2 linked regions of the Stegostoma tigrinum genome follow. Each later gene encodes a partner of the first gene's protein in a complex. Links are inferred from orthologs where the notes say so. Each region holds a gene or a part of one and is shown in the gene's direction. Other genes may lie near its edges.

The links. The genes of interacting proteins can lie anywhere in the genome.
Region 2: the proteins of prkaa2 (region 1) and 5'-AMP-activated protein kinase subunit gamma-1 are in contact, whole or in part, in a crystal structure (PDB 6B1U), measured with the Homo sapiens proteins. The link is inferred for Stegostoma tigrinum from reciprocal best matches to the Homo sapiens genes PRKAA2 and PRKAG1. Residues at the interface, in NP_006243.2 of Homo sapiens: Asp329, Asn330, Ile333, Met334, Ala337, Phe340, Tyr341, Leu342, His366, Pro367, Glu368, Arg369, Met370, Pro371, Pro372, Leu373, Ile374, Asn444, Val446, Thr447, Pro530, Arg531, Leu532, Gly533, Ser534, His535, Thr536, Met537, Asp538, Glu541; in NP_002724.1 of Homo sapiens: His36, Asp40, Leu41, Ile42, Pro43, Thr44, Ser45, Val50, Phe62, Leu64, Val65, Thr66, Gly68, Val69, Arg70, Trp75, Ser77, Lys78, Lys79, Gln80, Phe82, Pro158, Glu159, Ser160, Gly161, Asn162, Lys170, Arg171, Lys174, Phe175.

The regions. Positions count from the first base shown.
Region 1 is NC_081361.1:54,945,732-54,953,012, forward strand, and holds the start of prkaa2 (5'-AMP-activated protein kinase catalytic subunit alpha-2), read left to right. Parts: upstream 1-4,274; 5' UTR 4,275-4,292; coding exon 4,293-4,386; intron 4,387-6,202; coding exon 6,203-6,344; intron 6,345-7,281. UniProt on the Homo sapiens protein: Catalytic subunit of AMP-activated protein kinase (AMPK), an energy sensor protein kinase that plays a key role in regulating cellular energy metabolism.
Region 2 is NC_081404.1:12,381,928-12,389,863, reverse strand, and holds the start of 5'-AMP-activated protein kinase subunit gamma-1, read left to right. Parts: upstream 1-4,868; 5' UTR 4,869-5,033; coding exon 5,034-5,042; intron 5,043-7,936. UniProt on the Homo sapiens protein: AMP/ATP-binding subunit of AMP-activated protein kinase (AMPK), an energy sensor protein kinase that plays a key role in regulating cellular energy metabolism.

The DNA.
Region 1 (7,281 bases):
TTACTTGAATGATTTGATTGTTAGAGATCAAAGGGAGCCCAGATTGTTTTCTTGGGAAGAAGGTGCAAGATATTTACACTTGGGCAAAATGACACTAGCCTGACACTAGAAATGACACTAGATATGCTAACAGTGGATAAGATGGAAGTAATCGAACTCTGAAATATTCTGTTCTCAATAGTTGAGCTTTAAACTGAACTTTAAATGTTTATTTCTAGGAGAAAAGAATAGGCTCTTAAGGATAGCTAACCAGTATTTCTACTTGAATAAAAGGCACTTACAATTCACCTTGCCATCAGAAATTATTCTTGAGAAAGGATGAATCTAAGAAATGTCTGAAAACTCACAGATAAAGTTAGTCTGTTAGGATTTAAAACAGGAAGATCAGCTATGATTAGCACAATGCTGTATTTGGTCATGCAGGAATGGGGGTAGAACTCGAACATGGACTGAAAAGACTAAATTCACAAGAAGTAAAATATCAGGCTGGAAGATTTACTTAGCTTGTGCTAGAGGAAAGATCTCTCAGAGAAAAAAAACCTCACTGTGAAAGACAATTCTGAGTGTAAAAGTTCCCAGGTTGAGAATGGAAAGGAACAGAAGTTAAATCTATGAGACCTTTGGACTGGGTCCCAGAGAAGTGAATGTCTACCTAACTGTCCCCGTAAATTATATCTGTCGATTTTGCTAAAAGAAAAATAAAACAAAATAGTGTTGATTTAATTATACATTTGAACTACTACAGTCCATAACACATTGGTATACAATACTGTTAGGAAGGCAGTTCCAATAATTTGACCAAGCCATGGTGAAGGAATGCCAATATGGTTCCAAGTTATGATGGTATATGGTACAGAGAGAACGTTTCGGGTGATGGTACTCGCATGCATCTGTTGCCCTACTCCTATGCAGTAGTGGTCAGAGTTTTGGGAAGTTGTGCAGTGCATCTTGCAGATGGTAGCCGCTGCTGCGACTATGGTTTGGTGGTGGGGAAAGTGAATGTTTAAAATTGTGGATAGGATGCAGGTCGAGTGAACTGCTTGTCCTGTGTGGTGTTAATTTTTTTGACTGATATTGAAATTGCACTCATCCACCTAAATGGAGAATATTCCATCACACACCAGAATTATGCTTTGTAGATGGTGAGCAAGCTTTAAGAGAGTCTCTGAATTCCTAGCCTCTGACCTGTTCTTGTAGTCACAGTTTTGATCAATTTCTTCTCCATGATAACCTTGAGATGTTGATGTTCTTTTGACAGTGGTACAATTCTGGCCCTTTTGTGCATCACAATTATTTTATTGATCTAAGCTTGGCATCAGGTGCCAGGAGTTGAGCCCTTTAACTCTCTCTGTAAATGCCTCCACCTTCCCTCATTCATTCCAATGCTCCTTAAAGCCTACCTAATGACCAATTTTTTGGAGGCTGGTCCTAATATCCACATATATGGCTCATTCCTCCTGAAAAGCATGTTGGGACTTCTTTTAATGTTAATATTGCTCCTCAAATGCAAGTTATTTTTGTCAGGCCTCTGGGGCTAGGTTAACTTTGGAGATCTACATTTTAAAAGAGTCACCTAAACAGAGGAACATTCTGGCAAAAACCTATTGTAGAAGTCATTCTGGAGCAAAAGTACTGTTATGAGTAGAATGAGAGCAGATATGACAAGTAGAAAAGTGAAATCAGTATTGAGAGGTGGTCTAAGTTAATGTTGAAGCTTAGGTGCATAGTCTGGAAATATCCTAAATAGAAAGATAGCTTTTAACGTAAATTCTGAGAAGAGTAAGGAAGAGTTAAAATCTAATTATGAGTAAGATAACTTGAAGGGTCATGAGGACCGGAATTCTGCTCACAGCCAAGTTTAAGGGCTCTGTCTGAACATTTGAGGTAGGTGAACTAGTGTTTATGAAAAGCCTTCTAGTGATACAAGCACAGTGTAGGTATGACTCAGGTCCATGGAGCTGGTAAATAATAGGAAATATGACAGTCATGTCATCTAGTTGAATGTAGAATAGTAGTGCGCTAAAAAGGTATGTGTGAATTCTGAATCAAAAACATGACAAATAAGGTAAAGTCGCCATTATCCCAGAAGCCTAGTCTCTCATTAGAACATAGAACATAGAACAATACAGCGCAGAACAGGCCCTTCGGCCCTCGATGTTGCGCCGACCTGTGAACTAATTTAAGCCCCTCCCCCTACACTATCCCATCATCATCCACATGCTTATCCAAGGACTGTTTAAATGCCCCTAATGTGGCTGAGTTAACTACATTGGCAGGCAGGGTGTTCCACACCCTTAACACTGTCTGAGTAAAGAATCTGCCTCTGACATTTGTCTGAAATCTATCACCCCTCAATTTGTAACTGTGCCCTCTTGAACAAGCTGAAGTCATCATCCTCAGAAAAAGACTCTCACTGTCCACGCTATCTAATCCTCTGACCATCTTGTATGTCTCTATTAAATCCCCTCTTAGCCTCCTTCTCTCCAATGAGAACAGATCCAAGTCCCTCAGCCTTTCTTCATAGGGCCTGCGCTGCAGACCAGGCAACGTCCTGGTAAATCTCCTCTGCACTTTTTCCAGTGCTTCCACATCCTTCCTGTAATGGGGCGACCAGAACTGCATGCAATATTCCAAATGAGGCCGCACTAGCATTTTGTACAGTTGCAGCAAGACATCATGGCTCTGGAACTCAATCCCTCTACCAATAAAACCTAACACACCGTAAGCCTTTAGAGAGAGACAACTGCTGGTGGTTTAACCGATGGTCACTACACCTCAATCAAGGAAAGAAAATGAGCAGAAGAATTCTTCTTAGTAACCTCAGCCAGGGCAGGAATGAACCCATGTGTTGGCATCCCAAACCAGCCATCCAAGCTAACCAACCACTGTGACAAATAGTCGCGAACAAATCAAACTTTTATTGATTTCAAGTCCTGTCACTATTCCTTATTTCCTATTTTCCACATTTCTAATTTCAAAATGATATGATCTTGTCAATCTTAGAATTTCATTAACTTCAGGCATGTGTCATTTTTAAGGTGACCATATCAGTCAAATACAAGAGGAGAGAGAATTGTGGGTACCTTAAGCAATAACCCAGGACAGTGAGGCAGCGTCTACAACTGGAATGGTAAAAATACATACACTGAAATTACCGGAGAAACTCAGGAGATCCGGCAGCATCTGTGGAGAAAAAAACAGAGGCAACATTTTAGGTCAACGGACCCTTTTTTGGAACTAGTAGCAGCTTGGAAAAGGTGGAATCTCTACTAAAGACAAGGGGTGGGGGAGGGTTGGGTAAAGGACGGAGAGAATTGATGGAGAGGGAGCCCAGATGGAGAGAAAGACCATCCGACAAACAAAGTATGTCAAGGAAGGAGAAAAGCTGATAATGGGGACCATAAGTAGGTGAAAATGGGTTGCTGAACTGAAAACATCCCTTGGGGTGACAAGGTCTGGGGTGTGAGGATGAGTAAAGGACGTGGAAGAAGGTGCTCAGGCCCTAATATTAGTTAACTTGATATTGAGTCTGATGGTTGCAGGGTCCCCAAGCAGAAAATGTGGTGCTGTGCTCCCAACTTGAGCAGATCTTTGCTGGAGTGCTACAGCAGGTTTGGGACAGTAATTTGGCTAGGTAACATGGTGGTGTGTTCAAGTGGCAGATAACTGAAAGTAAGGGTCATTTTTATGGACAGAATGTAGATGTTCCTCAAAGCAGCCAACCAGCTTGTGTTTTGTCTCCACATTGTGGAGGAGACCACATTGACAGCAGTGAATGCAATAGATTGAATTGAATGAAGTGCAAGTAAATCACTGCTTCACCTGAAAGGTGTGTCTGTGGCTTTGGACAGTGAGGGAGTAAACGGGCAGCTTTTGTAATTGGATGTGAAGTGCATTGGACTGTGGGGAGATGTTGGGAACGGTGGAGGAGTGGATCAGGGTGTCCTACAGGGTACAGTCCCTGAAAAAGGCTGACAAAGAAAGAGAGGTAAATATGCATCTACAGTTCCTATTATCACTGAGGTAAATATGTATCTGGTAGTGACATCCAACTGGAGGTGGCGGAAATGGAGGCTTATCGTCCTTTGCAGACAGATGCTGGTGGGGTGGAAAATGAGCAGCGTTGTGGAAGAGCAGAAGTACTCTCACTCATGAGGGTCGAGATGACATTGACCGCCTCAAAGATGGCGACGGCAGCGGCCCCTTCACCCCCAAATAATCACAGTCGCTAGTTGGCATGCGCATTGGCCGTTAGGCTGTGGGGCACGCTGGGTAGAGGGAATCCGACAGCGATGGCGGAGAAACAGAAACACGATGGTCGGGTAAAGATCGGCCATTACATCCTGGGCGACACTCTGGGGGTTGGAACCTTCGGCAAAGTGAAGAGTTAAGTGTTTCTTTCCAGATTTAAGATGCTTCCGGTTTGAGATGGGTCCCGCTTAATGATAAATAAATTCAAGTGTCAGCCTGGACACTATCTCCATCCACCACCGCTCCCCATGCCCCCCCCCCCCCCCTCACCCCCCGTCAGTGTCGGCCCGGACACTGTCTCCATCCATCCTCCCCCATGTCCCCCACCCACCCCCGGTCAGTGTCGGCCTGGACACTTTCTGCATCCCCCCGGGACCAGTGTTGGCCCGGACACTGTCTCCATTTCCCGCTCCAGCTCATGGTCAGTGTCGACCCGGACACAATCTTCCTCTCTCTGATCAGCTTTGGCCTAGAGACAGTCACTCTTCCTCTGAACTGAATGTTGATTTTGGTATGGTTTTTCACACTAGTTTGTGTTGATTCTGGAATGGCTTCTAAGACGGGCAGTGATTCATTTTATTTCTCTGAGTCTGTTGGATTCAAGTTTCTACCCTCCAATCTCACCTCCCCACCAGCTGGACCTGACACTACTTTCCGCTGATTGCGGGCGGCAGCATAATGTGGTCAGTTAGGGGCTCCAGTCCAGGCTTGCCCTTGTGAACAGTCCTGCACTCATAGCTACTCTTGCCTGGTACCTGGCTCCACTCTTGCCTGTTTCTACCCCACCCCTTTTCTCACCCCTCTGTCTTCCTTCAGTGTATGCATGATAAGAGGTGACAAATGGAGTTTAATGCAGACAAGTGTGAGGTGATGCACTTTGGTAGGAGTAACCGGAAGGCAAAGTACTGGGCTAATGGTAAAATTCTTAGTAGTGTAGATGAGCAGAGAGGTCTCGGTGTCCATGTACACAGATCCTTGAAAGTTGCCACCCAGGTTGACAGGGCTGTTAAGAAGGCATACAGTGTTTTAGCTTTTATTAATAGAGGGATCGAGTTCCGGAACCAAGAGGTTATGATGAAGCTGTACAAAACTCTGGTGCGGCCGCACTTGGAGTATTGCGTACAGTTCTGGTCACCGCATTATAAGGAGGATGTGGAAGCTTTGGAAAGGGTGCAGAGGAGATTTACTAGGATGTTGCCTGGTATGGAGGGAAGGTTTTACGAGGACAGGCTGAGGGACTTGAGGCTGTTTTCATTAGAGAGAAGAAGGTTGAGAGGTGACTTAATTGAAACATATAAAATAATCAGAGGGTTAGATAGGGTGGATAGGGAGAGCCTTTTTCCTAGGATGGTGACGGTGAGCACGAGGGGGCATTGCTTTAAATTGAGGGGTGAAAGATATAGGACAGATTTCAGAGGTAGTTTCTTTACTCAGAGTAGTAAGGGAATTGGAACGCTTTGCCTGCAACGGTAGTAGATTCGCCAACTTTAGATACATTTAAGTCGTCACTGGATAAGCTTATGGATGTACATGGAATAGTGTAGGTTAGATGGGCTTCAGATCGGTATGACAGGTCAGCACAACATCGAGGGCCGAAGGGCCTGTACTGTGCTGTTATGTTCTATGTTCTATCCCTTTAAGGGTATTGACGAAATGTGTAACCTGTTAATTTCAGAATCATTTACTGTGTTAGTGTAATAATTGATTTATGTTAAGTTTATGATCAGCCGCTGGAGCCATTCTCATTTAAATTTGACAAATTCAGAATCAAGTACTGCAAACCATGACCATGCAGAGCCAACCCTTCTTCAAAGATATCTTTATTTTGTTCCTTTGCATCTATCTCAAAAGGGTTACTTTACTGTTCATTTACTATGTCAGTCATCTTTCCTCCGATACAATGGAGTGTTTCAGAAGTTAAATGCTGATTTTATTTTTGTTTCTTCTTCAGTGGGAGAACATCAGCTAACAGGACATAAAGTTGCTGTTAAAATCCTGAACAGACAGAAGATTCGCAATTTAGATGTTGTTGGAAAAATCAAGCGGGAAATTCAAAACTTGAAACTCTTCCGTCATCCCCATATTATCAAACTGTGAGTGACATCAATTGTGTTATGTGTTGGTAATAAATTAGTTCAGATACCATCTGGAATATTGTTCACTTCTAGGTACCACACTTCAGTAGCAACATATTCTTGGCGAACTAGTTAATATCATGCCAATTGACCAGGATTCAAAGTACATAAATACAACTCCAGGTTGTTTAAACTTGGTGCTTATTTCAAGGTGTTAAAAATATAGTGTGATGCAGTTGAAGTATTTACAACTTCCTTTGGTGGGAAAATGTAGATCAAGGGAATGCAGTTTAAAATTTGAATTAAGCAACTTAAGATTGAAATCAGGAAACACTTTTTCACCAAATGTGGGGCCCTTCAAGTGTCACTGGATGCTGAGATTATTTGACATCGTCTCGACGAGTTTGATAGATTTTTGTTCAGTAAATATATCAAGGGCATGTGGATACACATGGATGAATGGATCTGATTGAATGGCACAGGAGGCTTGAGATCTTTCTCCTGTTCTCTTCAACCTTCTGCAATAATTATTTACACTGCAATAATTGCTTTGCATATTAGGCCTTCTGCACTGTGTGTTCAGTCTTGGTATGCCTTGTTTGAACAGGCATTTTCTCGGATTTGGTTTTATTTGGCAAATTCTGCTTCCAGTATATTACTGTCTCCTGAATTAATCGTTTAGAAGTATATTTGCTCTCTGTCAGTTATTTTCATAACCATAATTTCAGTCACCTTTTAATGCTCACTAAATACAAGAAATTTACAGTTTTTCAATGTAACTCAAATTCATTATCTCCCAGTTAATGCTGCTGGACTGTTTCTGGATTTTTGCAAGGGTATTATGTTCTTAAATGGAGTAGCCAAAACAGATTCTGATATTTCCAAAGAAATTTGACCAATTTTTACATGATTATAATGCTACCTACTTTTACATTCTGAAGACGAGCTTTCTTTT
Region 2 (7,936 bases), on another chromosome or scaffold:
ACCAGCTCTCTTACTAAATCCAGTTACGATCCAAGCTGAGCAAGTCAAATACCAGACTCAAATCTGGCTTGACAGATCATATTTTGATTCATTCTACGAAGTGGTCTTTCACTGAAACAAGCATGTATTACTGCAAATCTGGTTTTGTCAGTCAACCAAGTTTACTATGCATAAGGAAATAAGATAAAATGGAATAAACTAGGCTATTTATATATGAAGCAATTTGAAAATAACCGAAATACAGTATTTCATCTCTCCCAACAACACCCCTTTACAGTACCCCCATCAGAGAGAACTCCCTTCATTATCACATCTATAGATCTGATATAACCGGTGCTTTAAATTCCTGGTCTCGAAAGTCTGATGGAGCCTCCTCAGTTATTCACACAATTGAGCTTAGATTTTCTCAGCTTCAAATAACCTTTCTACCCAAACACTTCTGGTCTGAAACTTTCAAACTAGACCCCTTACACACAGGTTGTTTATTTCCTAACTATCCTGAATTATTTACTTTCTTCGAGGGGAATTTGTTTTCTCTGCTTTCCTTCGACCTGGACTTCTGTGGACTGAAAACAAAAGAATTCTAAATTTTGGAGATAAAAAACAAAATCTCTGATCCTTCTAACTAAAAGCAGCCTAATGCTATCTATAAAACCTTAGAACTGTGGGTGCTGGAAATCAGAAATTGCTGGAACAGTTCCTTTATTCATGAATGGGAATGAGGGCAGCTCTGGCTAGGCAGCATTTATTGTCCATCCCTAATTGCTCAGAGGACAGCTAAGAGTCAACCACATTGCTGTGGGTCTGGAGTCACATGTAGGCCAAGCCAGGTAAGGGTGGCAGTTTCCTTCCCTAAAGGGCATTAGTGATCCAGATAGGTTTTTCCCAACAATTGGCAATGGATTCATGGTCATTATTAGATTCTTAATTCCAGATATTTTGTTGAATTCAAATTCCACCATCTGCCTTGACGGGATTTGAACCAAGGTCCCCAGAACATTATCTAGGTCTTTGGATTAGCAGTGCAGTGATAATACCACGAAGCCATTGCCTCCCCAGTTCAGTAGATCTGGCAGCATCTGGAGTTCTGAAGAAGTGTCACTGGTCCCAAAATGTTAACTGTGTCTTCTCTTCATAGATGCTGCCAGACCTGTTGAGTTTTAACAGTAATTTTTGTTATTAATGCTTTTCAGTGTTCTCGCTGCTTATTCAACTCTCCTAATGCAAACAAATTTCTACTATTCCTCCAGGAACATGCACACAGTTTTTTTAAAAACAAAAACTATGTCTCCAGTGATACTGACAAGTTAATCATTAAACAACAACCCCTCCCCCATACATACAGATCAAACCCACATACCACTAGTTCAAAATCCATATCACACACCTTACATCAGAACTTATACATTTTTATGTGTGGTTAATGCCTTGAGATTAACTATATTTATGATGCATTGCATCTTTAATGGTGAGAATTATATTAAGCATATATCCTCATGTGCAGTTGGCCGCACAGAGCTGTTAATCGACAAAAACTTTGTTGAAGTGATGTAAAGGCAGTAGTTACATCCTGACATTTATAGATCTGTTACAAACTAGTGAAGCATCTAAGTATTGAATTCATTTCAATCTTTAGGTTAGATTGTTGCTTTTCAGTCTCTCTTGAATGTTCTAAATGTTTTGTCCATGAAATATTCTATAGTCATTTATTGGTATAGAACTTTGTTGAAGCTTTTTGATTGTATCCGTAGGAGAATTCACAAAAAATACCTAAGTAAGGGGAAAATAACGTATCTTGTATGAGAGGAGAGTGCTGATTTATTGGCGTGGCCTCTGATCAGTAGAGGCATTTCAACTCAAGAAACTAGATGGCAGGTCATTCCCTGGATTGTTCCTAAAGGCAGAACCTCAACTAATCAAGGTCAAACTGCCTGGTTTAAAACATAAACAAAACTTGGCATTTAACGGTCAGTCATCAGTAATATGTATTCTTATTGGCATCATCTCTACCAATCAATGAACACTCTTCTCATTTAATATAAACTCTGTTTTACTTAGGGTTTTTTTTGGTAACTTGTCTTGATGAGTGCAAGGTGATGGCTTTGACAAAATGTTTTTTTCAGCAATACAAAAATATTCTGCAATATTTTGTTTAGCTAGTGTTTTGTTTTACAATTAACACTTTAAATTTTTTTATTGTTTTCCCACTCTGCCAGCTTTCTACATTTCATTTGTAGAAGGCACTTCAAGTTCTGACTGCATCCTGCCTGATTTGTGAACTCATTACTTAATCCTACAGAGTGGAGCTTTGGCTTTTTTTTAGAGATAAGTATTGTCTTGTATTGCACTGCTACTTTAAATACCTTTCATGTTTATAAATACATTTGTTAACAACTGAGCATGATTTATTGTGTCAGTTTATGTTCAATTTTTAGCAGTAAATTTACCGAAGTTTAAAACCTGGCTTGAGATTCTCTCTTCTTCCACTCAACTTTAGTATCAAATTCGATCATACCATGTTTAATATTTGCAAGATGTTCATTTCCTGTCAGATTATTAACTACTTTTGGCATATTAACATTACATCTAAAATGGCCTCTTTTGTTCTTCTACAACATTTGGTTCCAGAAAACTGTTCTGAATATACTGGAAAATGCTGTTTATGACTCCAGCTATTCTCCAAATTTATGAAAATGAAAATCACCCATTCTAAACATTTTGCTTTATCTTCCTCCCACAGTCCAAAGATGTGCAGGCTAGGTGGATTGGCCATGCTAAATTTCCCACAGTGTTCAGGGGTGTGTGGGTTATAGGGGACTGGGTCTGGGTGGGATGCTTCAAGGGGCGGTGTGGACTTGTTGAGCCGAAGGGCCTGTTTCAACACTGTAGGGAATCTAATCTAATCTAAATGCAGCTCTAATCTTCAGATTTAAGGAACCCTCTACAACAATAGACAATAGGTGCTGGAGTAGGCTATTTGGCCCTTCGAGCCAGCACCACCATTCATTATGATCATGGCTGATCATCAAACAATCAGTATCTTATTCCTGCCTTATCCCCATAACCCTTGATTCCACTATCTTTAAGAACTCTATCTATCTCTTTCTTGAAAGTATCCAGAGAGTTGGCCTCCACTGCCTTCTGAGGCAGAGCATTCCATATATCCACCACTCTCTGGGTGAAGAAGTTTTTCCTCAACTCTGTTCTAAATGGCCTACCCCTTATTTTTAAACTGTGTCCTCTGGTTCTGGATTCAGCCATCAGCGGAAACATGCTTCCTGCCTCCAGAATGTCCAATCCCTTAATAATCTTATACGCCTCAATCAGATCCCCTCTCATCCTTCTAAACTCAAACCTGCAGCCTACTCCCAGCAGAGTTCTCAACAGCCAGTGCAACAAACAAGAAATCATTCATTTGTTTGCAAACAACAAGATGTTCAAGCCTTGAGTCTTTTTGAATTGCCTGGAACTTTGGGAGTATATGTTCCTTGTTCTTTCCACCACCCAGCCTCCCTCCCACTCCCCATCACACTGTCCTTAGATCACATCCCTTCAAGTTGACATCCCCACACCTCCATCACATTCTCTCTCCCCCCAACAATGATCATATCACCATGCGATCACATCACCTCCTGGGAGAAAGCAAGAACTGCAGATGCTGAAGTCAGAGTTGATACAGAGCAGAGCTGGAGCACAGCAGGTTACGCAGCATCAGAGAAGCAGGAGAATCAACATTTCAGGCCAGGACTGGGGAGGGGGAAGGGAGCTGGGAAATAAATGGGGGGAAGAGGGGTGAGGCTGGGGAAGGCCGGTGGGGTGGTGTTAGGTAGATGCAGGTAAGGGATAGTGGGGATTGGGCAATGAGATGGGTGTGATGTATAGGTGGGAGAGAAGATGGGCAGGTTGTGTCAGGTCAAGGAGGAGAGAGGGAGAATAGGTGGGGCTGGGGGGAGGAGATGGGATGGTAATAGATAGACGTAGGGGGTGATGGGGATTGCTCAGTGGGAAGGAGATGGACAGGTTGTGTCAGGTCAAGGAGGAGAGAGGGAGAATAGGTGGGGCTGGGGGGAGGAGATGGGATGGTAATAGATAGACGTAGGGGGTGATGGGGATTGCTCAGTGGGAAGGAGATGGACAGGTTGTGTCAGGTCAAGGAGGCGGGGTTGAGAGGGAGGGTTGGATGTGGGGAGATTTTGAAACTGGTGATTTCTATGTTCAGGCCATTGGGCTGTAGGAACCGAAGGCGAAATATGAGGTGTTAAAAACAGAAGTTGCTGGAAAAGCTCAACGGGCCTGGCAGCATCTGTGAAGGAAAAAAATCAGAGTTAACGTTTCGGATTCGGGGACACTTCCTCAGAGCTCTCCTCTTGTTCTGAGAAGGGTCACCGAATCCGAAACGTTAACTCTGATTTTTTTCCTTCACAGATGCTACCAGGCCCGTTGAACTTTTCCAGCAACTTCTGTTTTTGTTCCTTATTTACAGCATCCACTGTTCTTTCGGTGAGAATACGTGTTGCTCCTCCAGTTTGAGGGTGGTGTCTTTGTGACACCGGAGGAAGCCCAGGATGGACATGTCACCCGAGGAGTTGCGGGGGTGGGAGTAAAATGCTTGGTGACCGGAAGGTGGTGTTTGTCGTGTACAGAGCGCAGATGTTCGACAAAACGGTCTCCGCTTAGTCTCACCGATATAGAGGATGTCACGTCGTCCACTTCGCCACCACCACCATCGCAGTATCCGTAACATCTCCCCTCCCCACATTCCCCGTCATCCCTCATCCCCCCTCCCCACCCCGCACCAAACCAGTTCCAGCCTGTTTGCTTCCCAGGTCTCCTTCGGCGTGCCTGTCGGAGCCTGCAGGCGGCGCCAGCGGGCTGGTGGGCGCAGCTGCGACAACGGGCCATCTTGCGTTCGTTGACTTGGTGAGCAGGCGCGGAACGGAAAGCGGTGCTGTGTGGATGGGGGAGCGGAGGTGAAAGTCCGGCGTGGGGAAGAAAGCGGCTGAAGGAAAGCTGAGACAGCGACCAGTGGAGCAATGGACTCGGTAAGTAAGAAAGCGGCTAAACTTCCTCCTCCCTCTCCCACCTCCGGTGAAGAGCCGGCCGGTGGGCGCCACCTACTTCCGCAGCATCAATGCATTAAACAGCTCAAGTTTCTCAGATGAGTCTGATCTAAATCACCTCATTGTGTTGTGATCCAATTGCATCCAAAATGTTTTTAAAAGCATTGATAATGATGGGTATTTAATTTCTCCTGTGGCAGCTCTACTCTTTGGGACTAATTGTGTTTTGGGTTTAATAAGAATTGGAGAGGGGGGTGTCTTTTTGTCAGAAGGGAGGCTGCCCAGATTTACTGTCGAGAGCCATAAATCGACTAACTACTGAAAAACGTCATGCCAAAAAGGAAGGATGAATATGGCAATGTATTTAGTTGTTTTTGGTGGGGTGGGGAGCACAGGGATAAAAGGAAAGTGTCGCAAAATTTCCCATATATGTTGTACGTATCTGATTGAGTCTAGAGAAGAAATTGTCGAAGGGATGGATCTGATATGATAACCTTTCAGTGCTTGCTTCTCACACCCAGCAAAACTATTAGCCTCCCAGTTCCTGCTTGTTCGGGGTAAATGTTACAAAGTGGACGGCATACAGCCCCCGTTTAGACTTGAGAAAGACCTCCGACAGAGTGAATCGAACTTTTTTTTCCCTTAGTTCCTGGAGCATGACTATTCTCCTCACCTTTGGAATTGTATAATATTTGTTGGTGTACGTATATCACCAATTGTTGTTTTCACGTTCTGTCTAAATTCTAAGCATCTGGTATAAAATATTCAAACGTAGTTAACAAATCGAGTCTACTTGAAAGTTTGGTATCGTGCACTGCTTCCTTTGTCACAGTGTGGAGAGGCTGGGGTGGACAAAGTCAGAAATCGCACAATATTAGATTATTGTCCAACAGGTTTATTTGAAAATACAGGCTTTGGACTGAGGCTCCGAAAGCTTGTCCTTTGTCCCAATGTAGCTTGTGAGACCAATGTCTTGAATATGGAACTTTAAAAAACATTTCATCCAAATGCTGAATGAGTTATTCTTTACTAAAAGCAAGTCGTTGGTAATCTTGGGGACTTGAATTCAGTAACTTTCCACCAGAGGCCTGGGATATAAACAGAAAGTATTAATATACTCCGTGAATGTCCAGGTCATGCGCCTCTTTCCAGCAGCCCCATGAAGCATTGCAGGCAGGGAGATTTGTTCAACGTGCATCCTCTTCAAGTGCTGAACTTTGGGAGTTGTAATGGTATTGTACAGAAGATGATGGCTGTGGGAGGAATGAACTTCAAATCCAACCTGCTGGCAGAGGCCTTCAGTATTTCTTATGCGCACTGTTGTTTCTTAATCTTTCATTTTTGTGCCTCACTGTTGCAAACCTTCTTTAATTATCTTGTATTGCAGTTGCTGACTTCCATTTTCTTGTAATGAGAAGTCCTTTTGAAATTAATGGGTTATCATTCCAATTTGCAACTGCCATTGTTGTGTTTTCTTGTTGAAATAAGATTTGAGACAATCCTGAGGTATCATGTTGGAAATCGCAACAGAAATGTCATACAGTACAGTCGTACTGTATCTGTGTGCCTCAATCTTGTGCGTTTAGTTTAGTTATTTCAATCAACCTGCTCAGATGTGTTATGACACACCTCCAGAGCAGTTAGGACTTGAACTCATCTTCTGGCCTAGAGGTAGGGATGCTGCCACTGTGCCACAAGATCTTAACACATCCAGAGTGTGCAGATATTGCACCCCAGACATGTTTTACTGAAATATCGTCTTGAAATCCTGCATGCTTCTGATATACTTGAAACTGTCCAAATATTTTTCAGTTTGTTCAGTTTCTTCAAGCATTGAAAATATAACTGATCTGAGGCCCACTTGCTTAATTGATGGATTTTATGGCCTCTTCCTAGTTTACTTTGTCTGAACCTATAAGCATAATATTCTAATCCTTTCCACCCTGTGGCAGTCAAGCACTGCTATTGCTTTAAAAAAAAACACCCCTTGTGGTGACAAGTTACATTTATTAACCACACTTTACCCAAAGAATTTTGTGCCTAGTTCACTGTTTTGAATTTGTTACCACCCATAATTCTGAAGAGATTTATGGATTTTATTTAGTGCTGATATGACAGAAATGGCACATCCTCTGTCATTGAAAAGGTTAAATTGAGTGTAAAGATTAAAGCTCAGAATTGTAAACATTAACTTGCAGTTGTTTTTTTAACCATAAAATGGGACAGATTTCCTGGTTGGAAAGTTTGACAGCAATGAAGATATTAGTTTACCTCTTCCACATGACACACGAGCATATGAAACTGGCTGCAATGAAATTGAGTAGCTCTGAATAATTCAAGCACCACCTGATTAAAATTAATCTATCTGACAATTTTTTTTTAAATCTTGCAAATGCAGCAACAGCACAAAACTCTGGCCACCTTAAATTTATTTGGTTGACAAGTTGTACCAGTTCCAACCTGAGCCTGCTTATTAGTTGTAAGATAACAAGGTGTGGAGCTGGATGAACACAGCAGGCTGAGCAGGAAAGCTGATGTTTCGGGCCTTGACCCTTCTTCAGAAAATGAAGAATGTTTTCTGAAGGAGGAGGAATTTCTTCCGAGGGTTGTGAATCTGTGGAATTCTTCGTCATAGAGGGCTGTTGAGGCTTGGTCATCAAGTACATTTTAAGGCTGAGATGGACAGATTTTTAATCAGTAAGGAAATCGAGGGTTATGAGGAAAAGTCAAGTTGTGTATTATCAAGTCAACCATGATCTCATTGATAGAACTCAGTGGACTGAATGGCCTACTTCTGCTCTTGCTTTATTGCCTTTGCTTGGATAGAATTTATTGTAATAAGCATTGTGTCTAAATGAACCAATATCTAGTTGCAA